Solanum lycopersicum: one gene and its partners. The protein of the gene in region 5 interacts with the protein of the main gene of each other region in a pairwise test. Links are inferred from orthologs where the notes say so. Each region holds a gene or a part of one and is shown on either strand. Other genes may lie near its edges. The genes, in order: Hop-interacting protein THI119, homeobox protein ATH1, B3 domain-containing transcription repressor VAL2, CAND1, KN1, BL3 and TCP21.

Region 1 (2,942 bases), on a different chromosome or scaffold from region 5:
TGCCCTAATTATGTCTTCTTTTAAGAAAAAAAAAAAGATTTTTTTGTCGATGGTGCAATCACTGCTAGCTTGTTTTAAGACAAATTACTAAGTACTGAGGGTTTCGTATAGCCAAACCCAACTGGTTTGAGATTGAGGTGAAACAATGCTAGTTGTTGTTGATGGTCTGCACTTTTACTAACAGCTTATATCTGAAAACCCCTAGAGATATAGCAGAAAAAACACGATTTTAGGATTTATTCTTTTTTAAATTCATTTGAATTGATTGTGCAATCATCTATAGCTTGTTTTAAGAAAAATTATCGAGTATTAGAATAAACGGGCAGACGGAATGGAATTGATATTTGATGATTCGTGTAGCCAAACCGAAGTAGGTTGAGACTGGTGAATTTGTATAGACATCTTTATTAACTGTAGGAACTATTTGAGATCGCTTACACCAATTATCTCATTGGAGGGGCTCTAAATTTATGTATTTCTTTTGTCTTTTTGGAACTTTTACTATCTGTTGATTTTTTTTTTAATTAGTCTTTATATCAATTATTGTTGAGTCTCCCACATCTCGGATACTGTTTGGATTGGCTTATTTTAAGTTGAAGTAGCTTAAGAACTTGTTTTTAAGTAAAAAAGACAAAAATAAGCCAAAAGCCATAAGTGAGAATTCCTAACGTATGGCTTATACGTCAAAAGCCATAAGTCCGTCCAAACAGGCTCTTGGTCTCCTTGTATGGCTTGGGAAATTCTCATCTCTTGGGCTAGCTTTTTGGGTTGAGTTAGGTTCAAGGTTGAGTTCTTTGTTAATTATCTTGTTGCAAGGGGCTTTAAGTTTTTCGTTGGTCTTTTGGTAGGCTCTCACTATTTGTCTGTTGTTTTATCTTCCTCTACCTTAGAAATCAACTATTTTGGGTTGTTATATCTTTGTGGAATTGAATTGTTGTTGTCGGCCTAATTTTGAAACTTATCTGAATTTGATCTGATTTTCTAGTTCAAATTGGGAATTGTTTAAAAGCTAGGCTTCAACTTTTTTATGCTTAACTAATGATTTTGGTGTACACATCCTATTACTGTTCTGATTTTAAGATCTGCATTTTGAATTTCGAAAAGCTAGGGTTAGGAGTGTTGATGATGCTTATGTTGTGATTTTCAGTATAAATGGACTGTTATGATTTTTAGCTCTGAATTTGGAACTTTGTAAGGCTGTTAAGGTATGGAAATCTGGTGCTACATGTTAGATTTTTAGTGAATACAGCTTTTTCTCTTCTGATTTTAGCACCGAATTTGGAGCTTGAAAAAACTGCCAGGATTTGGAAATTTGATGCTTACATGTTGATTAAGTGTATACAGCATTCCACTTCTGGTTTTGGCTCTTTGTGACTGTGGAAACTAGTTATATTTTAATGGTAATGCTTAAAAATTAATTTTTTGGTGCATACAGCTTGCAGGTGAAAAACAGTCAACATGCCGGCCACCGCAGGTAGAGTTCGCATGCCTGCGAACAATAGGGTACACAGTAGTGCAGCCCTACAGACGCACGGCATCTGGCAAAGTGCTATTGGTTATGACCCATATGCTCCTAGCAAGGATGAAGACAAGAAATCGTCTAACCAGAAGCCATCGTCGGCTGCAGATCCCGAAAATGCTTATGCAAGCTTTCAGGGTTTGCTTGCACTTGCTCGAATCACTGGATCAAATGCTGATGAGACCCGTGGAGCATGCAAGAGGTGTGGGCGGGTTGGCCACCTCACTTTCCAATGTAGGAATTTCGTGAGTGTTAAGGATGATAACAAGGATAAGGACGCAGAGGCAATAGAAGCTGCCGTGTTGTCTGGATTGGAGAAGATTAAGGGGCATGGTTCTAAGATGAAGGGGAAAGCAGAAAACGAGGATAGCAGTGAAGAAGAGGAGGAGAGTGAGAGTTCTGATTCTGATTATGATTCTGAAATGGAGAGGGCAATTGCTGAGAAGTATGGTAAGAAGGTGAGTAGAAAGTTAAAGTCATCATCTAAGAAGCACAAAAAGAAAGATTCTGATTCTGATGACGAGTCAGACTCTGGAAAAAGGAAAAAGAGGGGTAGATCAAAGAGAAGGAGGAGTGGGAAGAAGAGGGGACACAGTGATTCGGAGGATGATGATGAAGATAAGGAGCGTAGGAAGAGGAGGAGGGAAAAGAGGAGAAAACGGGATGAATCATCAGATGAGGAGGAGGATCGTCGGAGGAGGAGAAAAAGTAGGAAGGAGAAGAGGAGGAGGAGAAGTCATAGACATGCGGACAGTTCTGCTGAATCAAGTGATGAATCGCCTCCAAGGCACAAGCGTAGGAGCAGGAGAGCAGCAGCCTCAGCATCTGATTCTGACGCCAGCAACTCTGATGATGCACGAGTAGGCAGGGACAAAAAACGTTCTGAGAAGAGGAGCAGGAAACGTCATGATGATGAAGAGTAGTAATGTACCCCTGAAAGGAGATTTATCATCTACTATCTGGATTGCAGGTCCATTTCTTTCTATGGAACTTGCTTATCTAGGAACTGTGTGTATTTTTCATTGTCTATTCATCTTTTGCCTCAACAAATACTCGTCTGCTTGTAATTTTCCCTTCATGGTCCTGAGTATTGTTCAACTGATGTTGCAGTACTGCATCAGTTATTCAGGATATTGCTATCCTTGTTGAACTTGCATCATGTTATCCTTTTGAAGGTTTTGTGGGATTATTAGTTACAATCCGCAACTTGTGCAACTTCATAGGGTGGTAATAGTTGAAGTGATATATGAGCCCTATATTTACCATATTTATCAACATCATGTGTTAAAAATTTCAAGAAATATGTTACAGTAGCCTTTGATATTTGATTGTGCTAGACCCTTTGTTATTTTTTTTTCTCACATTTCCAGAAATTGTATTCCGAATGTGGTGTACTCTGATTTCTGGTTTTACTCAATATTGT
Region 2 (3,927 bases), on a different chromosome or scaffold from region 5:
ATTTTCAAAACAGATTGTCATAAAACCGAAAACTAATCATCAAATGCTTGTCAACTCACCACTTGCAACAAAGCTACCAGATTCTTTTTCTTAGCTTCACAACCCATCAGACCATCAGGTGAATCATCAGAACTCATGGCTGCATAGCCCCTTCCAGCATCTGAATTCAAAGCAAATGAAGTGTTTGCACCATTCTCCGTCCCATTTCCTCGATAGCCTACCAAGTTATGATTTTGAAGTGATAACTGAGCAATTTCAGAGAGTATTTCTTGCATTACACGGAGATATCTTGATCCAGTTAAGAATTGTGAAAGGTAGACAGGTTTGTATGAACCAAAGCTTAAAGACAGATTTCTGCTGTTGCAAGAAGTTAACTCTGAATCAAAGCGTCTTTGAGGGAAAGCATGGTTGGTTACACCGGAGCAACTTATATCCGAGCATTGGTCCCGGATAGTAGTCCCACATGCAACAGCAGATTGTGATGTTGTGAGACTTAGACAGAGGTCGTTGCTAAATCGGGAGGATCCAGAGGGACTATCAGAACTCAAACTAGCTGTTTCTGATGAGAACCATGTGTTTGAATTCACATTTTCAGTTAATTGGAAAGGCTGAGATCCTGCTCGTCCTACAACCATCCCACCAATTTCCGAAACACCATCAAACTCATAGTTTCTGTAGGATCCAAATGAATGATTCAACACATTAGGATAGTCTAGACCATCCATTTTCTGGCCTTCTGTAGGATGTGATAACGGAGCTAGTACCGCTAAATTTTCAGGATTCTCGTGCATAGCGTTCCTTGCAGCCAAAAGATTAGCAAGAGACACAGCAGAAATTGGTATACCTTCCATATATTGATCATCTGCGTAAGCATTACTGATTGGATAAGAAGTACTCACTGAATACTCTTTTATTCTGTTTCTCCCAACCGGCAACACATTATGAATTGCTTCAGTGTCAACAGGTCGAGGAAAATTAGGTACATTTAGAAAACCATGAGAGGTGTTTACGGCTTCACCTTGCAGCATAAAAGGATAAGGAATTCCATGTCCATCCATGATCTGGTTTTGATTGTTCATACAAACTGTTTCGGGAAAACTAATGGGAACAATAGTCGTATGAAGAAAATTTTCATCTATAATCCGAAGAGGCTCTGCCATTTCTAGTTGAAATTTGAGTTCCACATCACTTGAGGATTTTCTATGAAACAACAAAGACAAGTGATCAAGCTAACAACAGCAGCTCAATGAAACCTTGATAGTTCACACTTGTATACTTTTGGCTGAAAAGAATTGCCTATAACAAGAAAAATGTTCTATTAATACAACTTAGATAACATCTCGAAGGATTTTCTAGAACAGATGGATGGTAGAGGAAAACACCTCTACTAAATTTGATCATTTACATCCAACTAGTTGACTCAAAAAATTGCTTTAAACACTAAGGATGGGACAAGACATTTTCTCTTTTTTCTTGTTGTATAGTCATTACCATCCAACTTTTTTTTTTTGGTCTCTTTACATTGATCTGTCTATGTTAACAGAATTATTAGGCAGAATCATATCAAAAAGTTCATGTGCCTAAATATTACTATTTCAGTCCCACAACCTGATCTTGAATAACAGTAGAAAAAAATGGAAAACAGGCAATCTGCTGTTTGATGTACAAAAAACAAATATAGAGAGAATCAAACATACATATTTCATAACTCTTAACTCAGAACATACATCCATTAACTTCCATAAATCTCCTTATAATGGAGATGGTTAATTTGCCAAATTCAAACTAAATTGCATAGACTCTTCACTTTCCATGCCACGCTCTAAAAAAATATACTACAAACACATGTCTTTTGATATCTTTGAAGAGTCTAAACAATATACGTTAAAATAGGATAAATGAAACAAACATCATGTCAAAACAACAATTATCAAGGTTACTTCTCCTTTAGTCACAAATGAAGTGAAAGTGTTAGTCATAAATATGGGACATGTCAAGTAGTTAGATAGTTAGCTTATATGTACTTAATAATAGTAAAGCAAAGAACATGAAAGGGTTAAAAAAATAAAATTGTTTCACCAAATCATAATTGAGCTTATAAAACACATCCAAAATAATAATAATAATAATAGTAGTGAAAGAAAGAAGGAAACCAAGCTTGGTGCCAAACTTCCACAAACTGCAGCTTCTTCAAAATTCCTCTTAAAATAGAATTCCAAGGTTGTTGCCAAATCCAAATATAGAGAAAAATTTAAAACAAATCATTGGGTTTTTTTCCCTTTCACCCCAAACAATGTTTAATCAAAAGACCCCTTTTTCTCCCCTTTAACAATAATAAAAATAAGAAGGGTAAAAAAAAGAAAAGAATAATGGTAGGACTAGTACAATATATCAACCCCACAACACAAAACCCACCCCCAAAAAACTACAAAAAAAAAAAAAAAAGCAATGCAAAAAGTAAGATGTTTTGCTTGCATGAGGAAGAAAAGCAAGATTTTTATTCAGAACCCAACACCCAAGAAACTCAGAAAATTCAGAATCACCATCTTCCTCACAAATACATTATTTTATTAAAAAGAGGGTTTCTTTTTTTTGTTTTTTTGGGGGGTCATTATCCAAAGGGCATGAATAAATCACAAAGAAAAGGGGTAAAGAATGTGTGTGTGAGTGAGAGAAGTGTTAAAAGCCAAAAAATGTGCTTGTTGGTTTTGCAGAGAGCAGCTGAGAGATGAATAATTACATGGATTTATGGACCCATTATGAAAAGATAGCTAAGAGAAGAGCCACACAAACGCAAAATAATCATTCACATTTCATGCAATACTATACAATTTTGCAAAAAACATACTATAGTGTGCCTCATTTTGGGGCCATTTCGTTTGGATTCAACCCAAATATAACGTTACACTGAGTATGTACATTTTTACTTCATAAAGATCGAATATATTGAGTATGTTATTATTATTTAATTTATGCGTACTACAAAAAAGATAAATTTATTGAGACAGTCATGTTTTTGAACTAGTCCAATTTTAACTGAGCATATAATCACGATAAAATGTTTTTGTTATGTATATTCTTAAATATTTATCAAGTAAATAAATTAAAATTTTGCCATTTACACATTTGTGTCAATATAAAATCTCCAAAAAAAAAAAAAGATTAGTTAAGATTGTAGAATATAACTAAAGGAAACAATTTCATTTGATTAACTTAATTACATAAGAAAACGGACAATCGTAAATTTAAACGAAAAGGGCTCAATAGGAACACTTTTACTTACCAATTTCCTCTTAGTCGTCTCCATACTAATTACAACCCTAGTGTGTAATGCTTTTAACTTACCTTAATTTTGAAAAAGGTAAAAGTGATCAAACCTTAATTTTGAAAAAGGTAAAAGTGATCTAATTGATGAAGTATATCGGATGCTATATTCCACACAAAATAAGATTTTATGTAAAAAAAATTTGATTACATCCAAAGTATTTTGACATTATAAAAAAAATTGATTATACTTAATATGCGTTTGGCCATGCGATATCATATCAACGACATGGTATCGTGAAATGTAATCAGTATTTGGACATGTCATTTTATGTTGATTTCATTATATGATTCCTTATCATGAGATGTGATATCATATCCTCCAAAAACCATGATATCGAATCACATGGTGATGCCATATCATGATTTGAGATGTTATAATACAAAATGGCCAAATACATAAGTAGATCCCTAAACTTATTGGATTTTTTCCTTCATGTACCTCAACTACGTCATTTTCCTATTGAATTATTGAACCCCCATAATTTATTACGTCTAAACAAATACCGTTGTCTGATGTGGAATCAGATTTGTGAGGGGTATTGATAGAGGATACATATGTTGTTCCACAAATCATTAGTCCAATTGATAGTGAAAATGTTT
Region 3 (3,982 bases), on a different chromosome or scaffold from region 5:
AGGATATAGCACGCGTAGAAGAAGTAATCAATTAGGGGATTGAATAAACTAATTTTGATTTGTTTACTTATCTGTTTAATTACGCAATGATGATTAATCTTAGTTCTAATCTTATCGTACACACTAAGCCAAAAGAACCATACTTGAAAAGCAAAGTGGATTTTTGTCCTTTTGATTAGGACTCCCACTTCCTAAATGAGCCATTTGTTTTATTGCACCGTTTTTTATTTTATTTTATATGAGTTAGTTCGAATCGGTAGAAAATTTTTAAATGAAAAGAAAACTTTTGAAATTTATTTGAGATAAGTGATATTTCTTGTGTTTAAAAAAAAAAGATTTTATTTTCTTCTTAATCTGTTTAAAAAAGAATGTTTCGTTTTTTTTTTTACAATAATTTAACTTTAACTTTCCATGTGACATATTTAAGACCACAAGATTAAAGAACATTTTGATATATTTGACATAACTTTAATTTAGAACCACAAGATTAACAAGTCTTCTTTCTTTTCTTAAATTTCATTATAAGTCAAACTAGGTCATCCTTTTCGTTAATATCCTTTTTTTAACGAAGAGAGTAGATATTTGTGTTGTTATAAGTTATTTTATAAAAAGTAAAATAAATATTTTAATGTTAAATTGTTACTTGCTATATAAACATGTCATTCTTGTTTGAGGTAACTAAAAAGAAAAATAAATCAAATTTAGAGAAAAATGTACAAAACACTTTTTTTATTAAAAAACTCGTTTAAGACCCTTTTGTAGAGCTTTCATTAAAAAACCCGTTTAAGACCCCTTTGTAAAGCTTTCAAATTTCGTACTTACTTTTTAAGGGGAGTTATTTTCTAATCGATTTTAAATTGTGAAAAGTTGATTATTACTATTTTTTCAAGTTATTTTCTTTCACACACAAAACTTCTCTACACTAATAACAACAACAACGGAGATTCTAGAAAAGATATAATGTATGCATGTATCATCTTTTACCTAAAAATAGAGATATTATTATGGATTAAAGTACATGAAATATTATACAAACAAGATAACTAATGGTAACAAGACAATGATTATAATTGAATCATGTGATGACCAAAAATATAAGATAATAAGTAATAAAAATCAAAGAACTAGAAATTACGAGTGCAACACTAACTACTAATATGAACAGATGATAAAACAACACACGATGACCTTCTAATTTTCTATCCTAATTTGTGTCCTCCCTAATCTTTCTACGTAAGATCCTAAGCATCTATTTCCAGCCCTCATCAACACACGTCCATTCATACACATTCATTTCTACTATTTTCTCGTTTTATCTCTGTTTATATAAATTATCTATAGCCAATCACTCACACATCCACACTAGAACATCAAAACATATCACTTTCAAATGTTCAAAATTATCTCGATCTTTAACTTCCGCACCAAAGCCACTTCCAAATGTACCTATTTTAATCCTATCTCTTCTAGAACAACGAGAGAGGTTACAACATAGTTGGTCTTAACTATTACTTTGCATTTAGTCACAAAACTTGTATGTTTTTGATCAAATTATATAAACATAAGCTTTCTTTTCAATGTTCAAAAGAAAAGCTGATATGATAAAGTGAAAAAGAAATTGAGCAGAGAGAGACGTTAGTGGAAGAAGAACTGAAAGAGAAAGGCGGGCGACCTTTGCTGACCCTTCAAGTCTCTCCCTCCCTGCATGTCCCCTTTTCCATTTTTGAACTGTTTTACACTTTACGCTTCTCTCTCTCTCCCAATTCCACCGTTCCGGTACCGGAAATTCAACAAACTTCCCTAATATTTCTCTATCACAAATTTTAAAACAGACCCACAAACACTGCAGCTTACTAGCTTTAGTTTTATGTCTTTAACTTTTGTTTTCAAGATTCTTGCTTCACACTTATTATTCAACTATTTCATACTTGGGTTTTTCTAAAGACTTCATTTTTAGCTTTAAAAAAAAACTTTTTTTTTTTTGGGTTTTGCGTATGGAGTATTAAGAGGAAGATTATGCTGTATTAGGGCTTGATTAGAGGTAAGGATTTTAGGAATGGAGTCGAAGATTTGCATGAATGGACTGTGTGGGACAACTTCTTCAATTGAGTGGAAAAAAGGGTGGCCTTTGCGATCTGGTGAATTTGCGACCCTCTGTGATAAGTGCGGGTAATTCAATTCAGATCTCACTCTCTCTTTATACTTAATTTATATATGTTTGTAAATTCAGTTTTGTTGTTCTTTTTGTTTTGTAGAAACTGGTTTGCCTAGTGCTCAACTCTGTTTGATCATTTTATATGATAACATTACCATTTAGAATGTCAAACAGTGATTTTTCATTGTAAAAATGTTCTGACTTATATACTCTTTGTATAGGTTTTGAATTTGCTTATTTTATTCGAGAAAAGATTAAGGAATCAATGTCCTACTAATTGAGATGGTTTGAAATTTGTTTATTGAGCTGATTGTTCTTTTTTGAAACGGAAGAAGTATTTACAATCTGAACAGTTTCTGTGTTTATGTTAAGGTTACTGTGTTGGTGAATACTGTAGCAGCTCGGAGAATTATCCTTTTTGTTTTGCTGAAAGATATTTGCTAAATCATGTTCTTTTATCCGACTGTTCTTTAATTCGACTAAACAATTACTTTACCTTTTCAAATTAGAGATTGCATATTCAATTTGAGAGAATTAATTCTATTGGGATAATATGTTCCTAGTCCAGTTCATGCACCCTAGTAATGGTTGCTCAAACTGACTCTAGTTCTGGAAAGATTAAAGATCCTGCAAGATCAAAATGTGGGAAAGATAATCCTTCTTCTTTCTGTTTCACTTGTTGTCTTTTAGGAAGTCAGTGCAGATTAACCTGCTTACGTTCTCCTAAGGATTTGTATTATCTGTGATTCTTGCTGTGTCATAGGGAGGTTTTTCTTGGCTGAGATCAGGAGCATGGGCTTATGATCTAAGTGAGGCCGTTGAAGCGAGCCAGAATTTTTAATAAGGGGGTTCAGAATCTGAAGAAATAAACACATGAAGTAGCCGAAGGGGGTTCGACATCTATCGTATATACCTAAAAATTTATTTTAACCATGTAACAATAATATAATTTTCCGCCGAAGGGGGTTCGGATGAATCCCTAGTGATAAGGTGGCTCCGCCCCTGTGTTGAAGTGATGGCATAACTTTTTTTTTCTTTCCAGAATTGTCTATTTGGTTCCATGTTAAGTTACTGTGGAGCAACTTTGTCTTTTTTTGCTCTTTTTGGCCTTTATATGAAATAGAGATTGCATGCAGTGATTTCACTTACAGTAAATAATACAGTGCTGATGGAATGAAACTATTTTATTATTAATATTTGTTATTTTTTTCCCTTTTGTTTTGTTTTGTTTGTTTGTTTTACTTCTGTTATTTTTCTGTTTATCTTTTGTTTCTTGGTCAGGATAGATGACTGGTAGTTAAATTCATGATAAACTTAGATCTTTTGCAATCTACCGCCTGCATTGCCGAAAGGAAAAACATTCACTTTAACTTTGGAATAAAATGTAGCTAATGACAGTTTCACCATAAACTGAAAACTGAAACTAATGCAGAGTCTTAGGGCATCCAGTTTGAGAAATTATATCTGGAACGCTTCTAGTGTAGACACATTTGCATAAAACTTATTGATGCCAAAGCAATTCCTGGTATAGTCGATGTAAGCACAAGTTGAATCGGACACCACTATTATTAAAAAAATAATTAAAAAGATTCAATGGCGATATATTGGAATATGGTGGTAACCAATTAGAATTGAAGACCACGTAGTTGTAGAGTTGTATCACTGACTCAGGAGCCTGCCCATTCATTAATGAGCAAGATTCTCTTCAGTATTGAGTGGCAAAATCACAAACCACTGCCATTAGTGGGTTGAACGGAAACTTCTGAGCCCTTTTTTCTTAAAAAGTTAAGATGGTTCGAGGACCAACTTGCGCTAGCATATGTTAAC
Region 4 (3,500 bases), on a different chromosome or scaffold from region 5:
CTAGATGATCTTGTTTAACTGTGGTGCATGGAAAGATTACAACATATACATCCCTATGCTTGATTTTGGATTTGCCCTTTCTGATCTTGAGGCTTTCTGGTCGATATTTCTTGTCCCTCATTAAATTTGTTTATATCATTTTGGATTTCAGTCTTTGTGTTTCCTCATCAAGCCAACCAATTGCCTTCTGAGTTAACTGCAGTAGTAAGTAGATAGGCCTAGGCACTTGATATGTGGCCTACACTGGTGACTAGTAGGTGGAAAGATGATATAGGATTATTGAGCTTTTGCACCTTCTTATGTTGGACTGCTTGGGAATTTTAATTGCCTTCTGAGTTAACTGCAGTAGTAAGTGTGACCTATACTGGTGACTAGTAGGTGGAAAGATGATATAGGATTGACCTTCTGCACCTTCTTATGTTGGACAGCTTGGGAATTTTGTATGGCAATGACATCTGAGCTGTCCTGTATGCACCTAGCCTATTCCAATGGGTACCTGACCTCCTATCTACACCTGGTACCGAGTTAACTACCCACCGAGGCTTGGGGACACATGAGAAGAAACAACCCAATATTTTTTTTCCTCCAATGAAATTCAAACCCGAGATCTCGTGTCTGTCCTCGCACTTTATTGACTAATAGGCCAAAACCCTTGGGTGCAGGTTAACATAAGGAAGCTAAAATGAATAATTTGCCTCAGAAAGGTATTATCATTTACTAGTTCCTTCGAGACAAAGAAGGTTTTGATCCGCAAATTGTTCTTTATCATATGAGCTCATGTCGAATATAGAAGTCTACTAAAAAGAGAAACACGCAAATAGAGATGATTTTCCATGAACTCCACCCAAAATCTCTGCATAAAGGGACTTCTTATATAGATGCGGAACCATCATTCACTCTACATACAAGAAATCTGCAAGTGCCTTCAACCAAAAAAATGATGTGTTCTGTTCAGAAACATTAGGCAGGATTGTAGGTGAATTGTCAATGCGTGCACAATTTGTTTTAAAAAGTGATGCTGTCATTCTTCTGTATATTCTCTTATCAGCCTTATATTTGGGGAATTAACACTCTTTTACTTGTTTATTTTCAAATGCACACATATTTGTAGTTACTTTTTCTTTTTTATAAGTTTCTCTATTGTTGTCTCCCTTCCAGGGAATGAGCACTGAGATTAAATGTGAATGTCTTGACATACTATGTGATGTTCTTCACAAGTATGGGAATTTGATGGACACTGACCATGAGTCTTTGTTAACTTCATTATTGCCCCAACTAAGTTCCAATCAAGCTAGTGTCCGGAAGAAGACCGTTTCATGTATAGGTAACTTTGTTATTAGCTTCTATTTATTGGATGTATTTTAAATTGTGAATGGAGAGTGTAACTCATTAAAACAGGGTTTGTTTGATTGCTTAAAACCCGTTTGGATTGGCTTTAAAAAAGTAGCTTAAGTCTAAAAAAATAATAAGTATTTTTAACTTTTTTGAAGTCATTTAGAACTCATTTTAAGTTATTTTTAACTTTGCCAAACATTCCCCAATTTATTTTTATGGTGTTTATATATTTGCCAAACTCTTTCAGATGTCAAAAATTGTCTGAAAAGTAGGTTTGACCAACTTTTACGCCAATCCAAATACCCTCTTAGTCGTAGATGCTTTGGGTGATAGTAATTGCAATATTCGTTGCAGACACACATGAGTTAATAAGATTTCATAGACTATCATGTACTGTTGGACTGGTGGCCGAGATTTCAACTTTTCTTCAGTAAATTCAGTTTTACCTTTTTCTTTTACAGCATCTCTGTCTTCGAGTTTGTCGGATGATTTGCTTGCAAAGGCTACAGTTGAAGTTGTTCGCCTTTTAAGCAATAAGAGCTTAAAATCAGAAATGATACGAACTAACATTCAGATGATCGGGGCCTCAAGGTAGCAAATCCTAAATTTAAATTGATGCTTGCATTTTGTCCTATCAAATGTTACATGATATTGATATACTTGTTTGCGTTGATAATTTTTTAGACAAATGCCCAAGTACAATGTACTTTTCTCAACAGTAGGTATCCTGGATACTCAATTAAAAGATTTCACATCCAATATTCTTCACTCCATTGGACAGTGTCCTTTTCACTGCCCTAAAGAAGCTGCTTGCTTGTATCAAGTGAAACGAAACAGGGCTGAGTGACTTGTATCTGGGTGCACTCTTTTGCAGCTGAGTTTTTAATGTTTTGATACTTCTAAATGGATTCTGGACTTAGATAAACGTGAAATAGAAAAAACTTAAGGTGTGAAACGGACACATGCATGCACACTCTTGACTGTCACTTTTTCATTCAAGATCCTCTATTTTTTCTTTCTGAGATGTGGTGCTTACTTTTGGAGAGCTTTCCTCTATTACTATCAATTATTTTGTAGACTAATTTTTACTTGGGCTGTCAACTTGTGTTTCCAGCCGTGCTGTTGGTTATCGTTTTGGTCCTCACCTCGGAGATACAGTTCCATTGCTTATTAACTACTGTACAAGTGCATCTGAAAATGATGAGGAGCTTCGTGAATATAGTCTGCAGGTGCTATATTAATTGATTTTTTTTTTCTCTGTTCTTATTAAACCCCTGGATGCAGCCTAAGTATTTTTATTCCAGGCACTTGAGAGCTTTTTGCTAAGGTGTCCCCGGGATATTTATTCCTACTGTGATGAGATTTTGCATCTCACCCTGGAATATCTCAGCTACGATCCCAACTTCACTGACAATATGGACGAAGATATTGATGAAGAAATTCTTGAGGAAGATGAAGATGAGTATGTTCACTCACGTTCTGGATCTTTGCTAAGACTCATTAGGTTCTTCTTACTAATCAAATCACTTGTCAAATTTTGTTGTAGTGAGAGTGCTAATGAATACACGGATGATGAAGATGTCAGTTGGAAGGTTAGAAGAGCTGCTGCCAAATGCTTAGCTGCATTGGTAGTTACACGGCCTGAGATGCTATCAAAGTTGTACGAGCAGGTATAACCAGGAAGTATGACCTAGTTAGTCTCACTTCAAGCTATTATATATTTGTAGTTTAATATAAGTGTTTACCCTCTATTTGTCATTATATTTTCCTCTCTAGTGTGTCGTGCAGATGTAGCTCTCATTTCTTATTGAAGTTGAAATGTTTCTGTATACTGCTACAGTACATCTGTCTCATAGTCATAATAAATTTATAATGCTGACTCTAATCTTTTGCAGGCTTGTCCAAAGTTGATTGATAGGTTTAAAGAAAGGGAAGAGAATGTTAAGGTAAATTGGAAGTCTTTTGAATTCCCTTAACGATCTGGTTTTAATTGACTCAAAACTTGCTCGACAGATGGATGTGTTCAGTACATTCACTGAATTGTTGCGACAAACAGGCAATGTTACGAAAGGACAGACTGATCTGAATGAATCAAGGTAGGTCATTGCTATTGCTTCTTTATATAACTTAAATTGTCCAATTTTGTGTTTTCTATTATCATTTTA
Region 5 (2,303 bases):
TAAGGTTATCTTAGAATGAATTTATAATATTTCAAAATAATGAGTTCAAACTTCTACATTGTGGTAATTTTGTATATTTAAATTTATGCTTCGCGTGGAAAATACTAGTTCAAATAAATCCAGTGCTAATGAGGTAGGTTTACCTCAAATTGTACAAACATAACTAGATTTACTCCACTATTGAAGGGAATCTCATAGCATTAAAATTATCACGTGGCGATCTTTAGGTCATCGAGTTGAGTTGTATAATCAATCATTAATATTTGCATCAAGATAAACAGCTTACATTATATGTATTGTATTACAAATGTGCATAGAGACTTTTCTTTTGTACCTAGATGTACTATTGATTACAAGTATAATAGCAAGGTTAAGATAAATTATTGTTATTATTATTATTATTAACCTATATATATTATGTTGTTTTGTTGATTATAGAGGACAAGTGTGAGGGTGTTGGATCATCAGAAGAGGATCAAGACAACAGTGGTGGAGAAACTGAACTTCCTGAAATAGATCCAAGAGCAGAAGATAGAGAACTTAAGAATCACTTGTTGAGAAAATATAGTGGCTATTTAAGTAGCCTCAAACAAGAACTTTCAAAGAAGAAGAAAAAGGGGAAATTGCCCAAAGATGCTAGGCAGAAATTGATCACTTGGTGGGAGTTGCACTACAAGTGGCCATACCCTTCGGTAAATATTTACTCCTTTTGTCTCAATTTATCTGATTTAACGCTATGTTTTGAAATTTTGAAATTCGTGGTATTATGAACAAATCTTAAGTATTTGTATGAACTATAAATCATTTCATTATAGAAAAATGATGTTTTGTTTTTGGGACGGACTAAAAAATATAATATAGGTTAATACCATTAGATCGCTTAATTGCTAGGTCTTTATAACAAGTTAATTTTGTATGATTAGTATTAGTTGCTAATCTAGTAATCATGGTACTCTCTTTGTTCCAAAATGTACATGTCACTTCTCATTTTTTCAATAGTCGATGTGATTAATCTTTGTTTCTGAATCGGATTTAGATCAACTCAATTTTCCAAAATAAAAGTTCAGATATTTTCAAAAATTATATGATAAAGTTTATCATAATTTGTTATTCTACTTGTATCAATATAAAAAAAAAAGTGCTACATTTCAATGTATCACATAATTGGTGCGTAGATTAAGTAACTACTCCTGACATTCATGTCATTTGTTGATAAACTTCATTCGTCTACTCGATTCGATTTTTTGACTTTTCTATTATGACAATATGAAGAATATTACAAGTTTCACAAAGAATGAGTTGACCTATATAAATAAGATTGGTTACCTGCTACGATATTACAGGAGTCGGAGAAGGTTGCATTGGCAGAATCAACAGGATTGGATCAGAAACAAATAAATAACTGGTTCATTAACCAAAGGAAAAGACACTGGAAGCCTTCAGAAGACATGCAATTTATGGTGATGGATGGTCTTCATCCACAAAGTGCTGCTGCTCTTTATATGGAAGGTCACTACATGGGTGAAGGCCCTTTTCGTTTGGGTCAGTAATATTTATGAATTTTAATAAATTAAACTTTGCATGCTACATTTTCTTAATTGGGAAAAAAGAAACATTTAATTTCCTTGTAAGGTGAGTATGAATAGTATGGATTTTTAATTAGTTGTAGTATGTATGTTTCTAGCAAGCCTTATAGGCCTAAGCACAAGGATATTTTATTGCTTGTTCAATTGTATATGGTGAGAATCCTTTTGTATTTAATATTGTAATGTTATTAGTGTACCAAAATCTAGTGTTAACTTATCCAATGGTGTTAATAGTATTTGGCTCTAGTAGTTTAGTTGAGTGTCTAATATGTGTTAGGCGATCAAAAATATGATCAGTAAAAATTCATATAGTTTATTTCGTATTGAGGCATAGTAATTTATTGGGTAATATGGGTCATATAGTTGTGTCAAATTTATGTGATAATGTTTTCCAGGGTACGTGAGCCTTGTATTGCACAAGGTGAATGTTGTGCGCACCATTTTTTTTAGATTCATACGTAGAGGTAATAAAATTAAGTGATGTAATTACAATTTGCTTAAAATGGGATTGGTTATTGGCTCATCATTTTGTCAGTTCAAATCATTTAGTCTTAAAAATTTATGTTGATATCAAATACACGTTGATCCATGAAATTTAATTTCAGATGGACTTTTTTTAAAGTATATTGTATATAGCTAATAATAATAGAGAAAACTTATAATTTCATCTGATATTGAAATATTATAAATGAACAAATAAAACAATTAGAACTTTGC
Region 6 (4,180 bases), on a different chromosome or scaffold from region 5:
ATCCATCTTGAGATCCAACATTTTCTTCTTCTTCTTCTTTTGTTTCTTCTAAGTACATTTCTTCCACCATTGGCTTCCATAGCCTTACCCTTGCATTAATGAACCAATTAGACACCTGCCCAACAAAAATACATTCAATCTTACGTGCATCACATCAAAGTTATATATACTGACAATATAAACAATTATACTATATGTACTAGTAAAGAGTATGAGTGGCGATAAAAATCTACATTACCAGATCACTTAAAAGATGACTATAAGTACAAACTGAACACAATCTTTTATAATATGTCAAAATGCTCATAATAATTCTGTCACTGTTAGTGCATATAACTTAAACTCTACATTTATATCAATGATGATAACTAGAAGTGTGTAGCATGATAAAAATGATAATTAACTGGTCGATAATGTAATTCTTTTTTATATTATCACTTTGTCAGTGCATATAACGTAAACTCGATGTTACACCTATATCATTAATATGTTATGGTGGAGAAAAGGACATGCCTGGCTTCTTGAAAGACCAGTTTGGCGAGCTAAAATGTGTTTATCAACATCACTTGGGTACCTGCAAGAATATATTTTCCATAAAGAAAGTAAATATAAATTGTACTTATACTATAGTTTATAATAACATATGTTGTACTTTCTATGTTATGTAACAAAATAAAATCAACAAAAATTCTATAGTCAGAGTAGTTATGATATATAGTATAGTTAAAACCGACAAAGGAAAAAGGAAAAGGAGTTACTGTAACAACAAATTGAGAGCAACTCCCAAAATATTTAGCTATTTTTGTGAACAATGATTGATGGCCCATAGAAAGATCCTTGGTACTACAACTACAAGTGGGGTTATATTATTTTCTTCTTTTTTAAAATAAAAAAATAATTTTTTTTTAATAATAATCTATCACTTAAAATAATAACGTTCAAATACATAATACACAATATTTATAATAACATATTCAGTGTAATACACAAGCAGAGTCTAGGAAGGATAGTATGTATACAATTTTACCACAACCTTATGATCAGGTAAGATACTATTATGATAAACTCTCGACTCAAGTAATAAAACAAATACAATACTTAGCAAGAGAACTAGACAAGTTCAAATGTATAATATAAAAAAAATATACATAATTTATATTTAACCAAAACAATATAGTGACATACCATAAGTTTTAAAAGGTAAGTTGAATTCATCAAATTTAAATTTTGAGATCGGACTTACGGGTGGAGAAAGTGTTCAAAGAGCCACGCGCGGAGGACGGAGACTGATCTTTCCGGGAGACCGCGTTGCGGTCTCCAAGGATGAGTCTCCATCATATTCATTTGTTGGAAAGCCTTTTGTTGCCTTAAAGTTTGATCAAGAAGTCTGAGTCTTGGTGTTTCACCTCTTGTTGAGCCAGGAATAAGAGTAGTAGTACTGTCCTTTTCTCCCATAGCCATTTTTGTGGCCTTAATTTGTGCCACAATACCATCTCTTAAACATCTAAAATGCCTTGACATAGCTCTTGATGCTAAGGCTGAGTAAACTGTTGCTGCTCCATTTCCAGCCACTGCTTCAAATGATGATACAACACCCTTCATTTGATCACAATAATGCTTGTACCTTCTATCCACCTACACATAATCCAAAAAAAATTGAATCTTTTTTGCCTAGTGAAGTATGAATAACAACAACAACATACGTAAAAAGTAGGGTCTGGAAAGGATAGAGTAGAGTACTGTATAGACCTTTACCTCGGGAGGCAGAGAGGTTGTTTCCGATAGTGTGATGAAAAAAGGAGAAAAGGGTTATAGAGAATTAATGGAATAGTGAAATTGTCACCATGTGGGCAATTAATGGAAAAGGGCATATTCAGCCTCAAAATTAGTTCACCAAGATTTTGAACAATTAAAAAAAGAACTTTTTTTCAACAATTTCATGTTAAAAAGAAAAAAGGATTGAAAGAATATATATATATATATGATATACCTCTTCAAGCATTTGAAGCAATTTTGTTTTTCTTTTTTGAAGTTCCAAAAGGTCAAGAGACTGTAAAAGTTGCTTTTTTGAAGTAGTAGCAGTAGTGTCATGTTGCTTTAGAAGTAGTTTTGAAGAAGAATGATCATTATTCTTCTTTATTCCAAGACTACAGAACTCACTGAGCAACTCCTGAGCTGGACCTAGATATTTGGAGTCCCTAACTTGATGATAATGATGAAAATACCCTTGTTGTATACTTGTAGATTTACCCAAAAATCCATCATGTATTAGTCCTTGTTGCAAATCTTGATGTCTAAGCTCAAAAGATTGTAAACCAATACTTGATGGATTTGATGAACAAAGAGATAATGAAAGTCCTTGACTTGGCCTTTCATTTCCTTCACAAGGGAAAACACATCTCATAGATGGATCATCAACAAGTAATGTCCTGTTATTATCATGATGCCATGAATCTTGATGACTAGTTGTTGTTGTTGCCAACATAGTTTCATGTTGATAAAATTGTTCACTAATGTTCTTAGAAGACGAAGGACCGTGATCATCATCATCATCATCAACAACAACACCATTGATCTTGTTAGGAAAATTACCTTTCCACAACACATGATGAGGATTATTGTTGTTTGGTGGAAACCCTATCATCATTTGATCCATACTAGAAGTAGTACTACTACTCAAATTGTACAAATCTGGATTTGTTTCAAAGTTTTGCAACTGATGATTCACAATATTGTTATGTGGTGTTGGATTTTGATTATTTGTATCTGATGAAAACCAATAACCAGTACTAGTAACCATTGATGATGATCTTGGTTTAATCTCTTCGCGAATAATACTTTCTTGATGATGACTAGCCATCTAGCTATATATACATATAAAGATCTCAGCTTTATAACTCTTTAAGTACTTTCATGATTCTGCAACAAACAAAAATCCCATCAAGATCTGCATATCTTTTATTAAAACAACCCAAAAATGGTAAAAAAACATCATAAGTAGAGTGAAGAACATCAAAAGGCAAAGATCAAGTGAACTAGAAATAATTTTTTTACCTTTTTTGAACAAAAAAGATTGAATTTTTACTTACTCAAGTGTTTGTACCAACATAGATGACTAGTTAAAAACTTCAAAGCAAGAAAACATAAGGTAAAAAATAAAACATCAAGTGAACTAAAAACTAAAAGGGGTTTTTACTTACCTTTTTTTAACCAAAAGATTGAATATTTCCACTAGTTAAAAACATCAAAACAAGAAAACAAAAGGTAAAGAATAGATCAAATGAACTAAAAACTTAAAGGGGTTTTTAGTTACTATCAAAGTTAACCTTTTTTCAACAAAAAGATTGAATTTTTACTCACTCAAATGCTTATATACCAACATAGATGACTAGTAAAACCTTCAAAACAAGAAAACAAAAGTTTTAAAAAATGATCAAATGAATTAGAAGTTATCTTTTCTCCAACAAAAAGATTGAATTTTTACACACCCAAATGCTTGTAGATTAGTTAAAACTTCAAAATAAGAGAACAAAAGGCAAAAAAAAAAAAAAAGAAAAAGAAGAAGATCAAATGAACTAAAAACTAAAAGGGTTTTTTAGTTACCATCCTTTATTAAACAAAAAGATTGAATTTTTACTCACTACCAACTTGTTTTTGCACATAAAACATCAAAACAAGAAAAGAAAAGGGAAGATCAAGAAATGAACCTTTTTTTTTCTCTGTGTTGTTTTTTTTCTCAAACAAAACAAGAAACATGGTGTACAATGAAAAAAAACATCCTTAGAAATTAGTGAGGATGATGAAAATCAGATGAAGGAGAAAACATTATGGATTTTCCAGAGGTTAAGGAGAGAGAGAGAGAGAGGCCTAAGGGGGTGTGTGATGATGACTTGTAAACCATGTTTTTTCATTGATATATGCTTTTTTGCTCTTACTTTCTCTCTCTCATGCAAAACAAGATAATCAATACGTACAAAATAGACTTCCTAGGAAGAAAATCAAATCAAATTAAAAAAAATACCCCTCTCCCTCTTCAATAATTAATCCTTAAATTAATTAAAATTGAATTCAATCAACGACAATAACATATTCGATATAATCCTATTAGTAGAGTCTAATGAAAATAATTTGTTCCCACCCCGTCTTCAATATATAATCTAAGTCATTATTCTAGTATTCC
Region 7 (3,031 bases), on a different chromosome or scaffold from region 5:
AAGAAATATAATTGCAAAAGAAGATGGTTTTGAAGTGTCTAATTGCGTTCTTTAAAGAGATATTCCTCATGTAAATAGTGGGTTAAGTATAAATAATTCCATACAACAAATCGTTTTGTTTATTACGGAGATCTTTTTTAGTTTACTTCCCGAAATGCTTTATATTAATAAAATTTCAGAGGTGACTCTTCCTAAAAGTTATATTCTTTAATGAACAAATAATTTTTTATAAATATCATGTAATAATTTTTTATAACACTCAATCATAATTTTTTATTTTTCATGTGTTTGTTTCTATTAATAATTATGTGGGAAAATCGGGCAGAATAAAAGGAAAGAAATCCAAAGAGCAAGAGAACCTAGCAAAGAAAATAACAATTGATAGATTTAGATTTTATTCGTCATGTGAAGCCCATTATTGAACTTCACACTATTTTTTTTCACAATTTAGGGTTAAATTATCAAAATAAATATCTTTAATTATTATATTATAAATTATTTCACCTAAAAAATATCAGGCATCAAAATAAAATAACATCAATATATTAAGCTCTAGTTTGATCTTTGTCTTGTCAAACTTTTTACCTAACATAATTTTCTTAGAGTTCTAATTAAATTTAGTTGGCGTTTTGGCCATGTGATATAGTATCGTGAGATGAAATCAGCATTTAGACATATGATTTTATGCTGATTACATCTCGTGATTTCATATAATGAGATTTGATATCATATTCTTCAAAAATCATGGTATAGAATCATATGAGAATACAATATCATGATTTGAGTTATTTAAATACAAAAATTAATTCACGAATTTATATTTTGTTCAAACAACCCCACATTTCTATATACTAACTATTATTTCACATTTAAATAAAATTTATAATCACGTCATAACGTTTTAAAATTTATTAATTTCACTGACATAAAAAAATTTAATTCTCATCAACATAAGTCACTTTAACTCACACTTCACCAATATAATTTCACGTCATGTTTCATTTTAACTCAAATATATTGATGAAACAATTAATTAAGTGAAGAACAAATAGTTTTGCAATAATTTATTATACAATTTTATGATTTTTATTTATTTAATAATATAAAATAAATAATTAAAGCTATTTTAACAATTTTAGAATTTATGAGATTCTTATATTTATATTAAAAAAAAATACACAACATTAAAATTCTATATCATATGTCCAAATAAAATTTTTAATTTCGTCGCGTAATTCTATATTAATTTCTCCTTGTGTCAATTTTCATTAAGTACACAGTGGGGTACTGTAGTTATTTCAATCCTCCTTTTTTATTTTTTTAAGCTCTAAATTTTTTTGGGTTTCAGCTATTTGCAGCTGTGTTTGGGATTTTTCTGAAAAATGGCGAGGGTTGAGAACAACCAAAACATTGAACAAGAAGATGACGAGGTGAACGACTGTAAGATTGATCCGTTACTTGGTGATTCTCATGAATACACCATTGCAGCGGTAGGGAATGTCACCGATGCGGAAGGGGTGGATCCGTCTCCGGCGGCGTCCACTGATAGGGTGCTGTTGTTAAAGGAAGAACCGGAGGAGAATGATTTGCGAGTTTCTACGTCGGTTGGGATGAATATGCAATTGCAGAAGGTAGAGAAACAACCGGTGAAAAGATCCTCAAAGGACCGGCACACGAAAGTGGAAGGCCGTGGTCGGAGAATCCGTATGCCGGCGGCTTGTGCTGCTAGAATCTTCCAATTAACGCGGGAACTAGGTCATAAATCGGAAGGTGAAACTATAAGATGGCTTCTAGAACGCGCCGAGCCAGCCATCATTGCCGCTACTGGAACGGGTACGGTTCCGGCCATCGCGGTATCAGTAAACGGAACGCTGAAAATACCGACGTCAAACAACGAGGGAGAAAGCTCGAGGAAGAGAAGGAAAAGGGCTGCAAATAGCGAGTTTTATGAGGCGTCAAATTTTGCACCGGTGGCTCCCATTGCCCCACAAGGTCTTGTTCCTGTTTGGCCAGTGGGCTCTGGGAATGGACTTATTCCCACCACAGCATTTACCGGTGGGGCAACTTTCTATATGCTACCGCCAGGCACTAATACAACAGTTGCTGCTACTGGGGCTCAGTTGTGGGCCACTCCAATACTTAATGTACCTTATGCAGCAACAGGGGTCTCTGCTGCTTGTGTGTCAAAAAGTGATAACAATGGAGGCAAGTTAAGCACAGTTGCTTCAGCTATGCCTCCAAGTTCTAGTTCTACACAGATGCTTAGAGATTTCTCACTGGAGATTTATGACAAGAGAGAGCTTCAGTTTATGGTTGGTTCTGGTTCCAGTGAAATTGATCAAACTTCCTCATCTAAATCCTGATTAGGGTTCTAAGACCCATTAATTTATCTTTTTTTGTTAATCTCTTCTGGATAAGCATCTAGTTTTTTCAAAAGATTATTTTAACATTTTGCTTGTAAGCATCTAGGAAAGGAAGTTGCTCTGCTGTGACATGGGTTCGTCAATGTTAAATGTCAACTTGCTGTTTTCTTAGTTTTGGGGCACTCAACTTTTTCTTTGCATTATAGTGCTTGTTAATGTGCTCTATCCATTAGTAGTTTTTTCTTAAAAAAAAAGTAAATTTTGTACTAACATAAACTCGATCCTTTAGAAAATGTTTGTCATGTTCAATTTGACTAATTTTTTGATCATATTAATTCGATATTTTAAATAAAAAAATTAGATATTCTAAAACTATATGAAAAGTACTATAAATTATAATTTTTTACATATTAATATGATGAAAAAATGTGTTAGTCAAAGTTTTTATAGTTTGACTCTAAAAATAGAAATCATGACAAACAATATCGGAAGAGAAAGTAATATATAATATATATTTTCAATAAATAAAGAATACATATAAGCTATTTTTGTAACTGTGTATGTACTGTGGTTCTTATCTTTGGGTCCATTTGGCCCGTGCACTTGGATTACTTCATAAATTACATGTGACTTTAGAGTAGGGCCCACTAAAGATGGATAGAGGGGTG

The links.
Region 1: the proteins of KN1 (region 5) and Hop-interacting protein THI119 interact in binary tests that used the Arabidopsis thaliana proteins (3 or more experiments, as listed by UniProt). The link is inferred for Solanum lycopersicum from reciprocal best matches to the Arabidopsis thaliana genes KNAT1 and CXIP4.
Region 2: the proteins of KN1 (region 5) and homeobox protein ATH1 interact in binary tests that used the Arabidopsis thaliana proteins (3 or more experiments, as listed by UniProt). The link is inferred for Solanum lycopersicum from reciprocal best matches to the Arabidopsis thaliana genes KNAT1 and ATH1.
Region 3: the proteins of KN1 (region 5) and B3 domain-containing transcription repressor VAL2 interact in binary tests that used the Arabidopsis thaliana proteins (3 or more experiments, as listed by UniProt). The link is inferred for Solanum lycopersicum from reciprocal best matches to the Arabidopsis thaliana genes KNAT1 and HSL1.
Region 4: the proteins of KN1 (region 5) and CAND1 interact in binary tests that used the Arabidopsis thaliana proteins (3 or more experiments, as listed by UniProt). The link is inferred for Solanum lycopersicum from reciprocal best matches to the Arabidopsis thaliana genes KNAT1 and CAND1.
Region 6: the proteins of KN1 (region 5) and BL3 interact in binary tests that used the Arabidopsis thaliana proteins (3 or more experiments, as listed by UniProt). The link is inferred for Solanum lycopersicum from reciprocal best matches to the Arabidopsis thaliana genes KNAT1 and BEL1.
Region 7: the proteins of KN1 (region 5) and TCP21 interact in binary tests that used the Arabidopsis thaliana proteins (3 or more experiments, as listed by UniProt). The link is inferred for Solanum lycopersicum from reciprocal best matches to the Arabidopsis thaliana genes KNAT1 and AT5G51910.

Annotation. Positions count from the first base shown.
Region 1 is NC_090807.1:1,087,318-1,090,259, forward strand, and holds Hop-interacting protein THI119, read left to right. Parts: upstream 1-1,458; coding exon 1,459-2,442; downstream 2,443-2,942. UniProt on the Arabidopsis thaliana protein: May regulate CAX1 cation transporter.
Region 2 is NC_090807.1:54,834,227-54,838,153, reverse strand, and holds the start of homeobox protein ATH1, read right to left. Parts: upstream 2,801-3,927; 5' UTR 2,154-2,800; exon of another isoform or gene 1,297-2,153; 5' UTR 1,161-1,296; coding exon 60-1,160; intron 1-59. UniProt on the Arabidopsis thaliana protein: Transcription factor which may be involved in the signal transduction pathway downstream of the COP1 gene. Controls floral competency as a specific activator of FLC expression. Is responsive of the nuclear import of SHOOT MERISTEMLESS (STM).
Region 3 is NC_090809.1:57,733,675-57,737,656, forward strand, and holds the start of B3 domain-containing transcription repressor VAL2, read left to right. Parts: upstream 1-1,182; 5' UTR 1,183-2,056; coding exon of another isoform or gene 2,057-2,078; coding exon 2,079-2,169; intron 2,170-3,982. UniProt on the Arabidopsis thaliana protein: Transcriptional repressor of gene expression involved in embryonic pathways, such as LEC1, ABI3, and FUS3. Repressor of the sugar-inducible genes involved in the seed maturation program in seedlings.
Region 4 is NC_090800.1:87,675,491-87,678,990, forward strand, and holds part of CAND1 (cullin-associated NEDD8-dissociated protein 1), read left to right. Parts: intron 1-1,158; coding exon 1,159-1,324; intron 1,325-1,796; coding exon 1,797-1,926; intron 1,927-2,449; coding exon 2,450-2,564; intron 2,565-2,639; coding exon 2,640-2,797; intron 2,798-2,881; coding exon 2,882-3,005; intron 3,006-3,230; coding exon 3,231-3,281; intron 3,282-3,348; coding exon 3,349-3,431; intron 3,432-3,500. UniProt on the Arabidopsis thaliana protein: Key assembly factor of SCF (SKP1-CUL1-F-box protein) E3 ubiquitin ligase complexes that promotes the exchange of the substrate-recognition F-box subunit in SCF complexes, thereby playing a key role in the cellular repertoire of SCF complexes.
Region 5 is NC_090803.1:63,966,059-63,968,361, forward strand, and holds the end of KN1 (homeotic protein knotted-1), read left to right. Parts: intron 1-438; coding exon 439-692; intron 693-1,343; coding exon 1,344-1,550; 3' UTR 1,551-1,803; downstream 1,804-2,303. UniProt on the Arabidopsis thaliana protein: May play a role in meristem function, and may be involved in maintaining cells in an undifferentiated, meristematic state, and its expression disappears at the same time the shoot apex undergoes the transition from vegetative to reproductive development.
Region 6 is NC_090807.1:66,657,356-66,661,535, reverse strand, and holds the start of BL3 (bell-like homeodomain protein 3), read right to left. Parts: upstream 2,801-4,180; coding exon 1,991-2,800; intron 1,636-1,990; coding exon 1,244-1,635; intron 575-1,243; coding exon 514-574; intron 116-513; coding exon 1-115. UniProt on the Arabidopsis thaliana protein: Plays a major role in ovule patterning and in determination of integument identity via its interaction with MADS-box factors. Formation of complex with AG-SEP dimers negatively regulates the carpel identity process and favors the maintenance of ovule identity.
Region 7 is NC_090802.1:2,189,817-2,192,847, forward strand, and holds TCP21 (TCP transcription factor 21), read left to right. Parts: upstream 1-1,341; 5' UTR 1,342-1,382; coding exon 1,383-2,363; 3' UTR 2,364-2,531; downstream 2,532-3,031.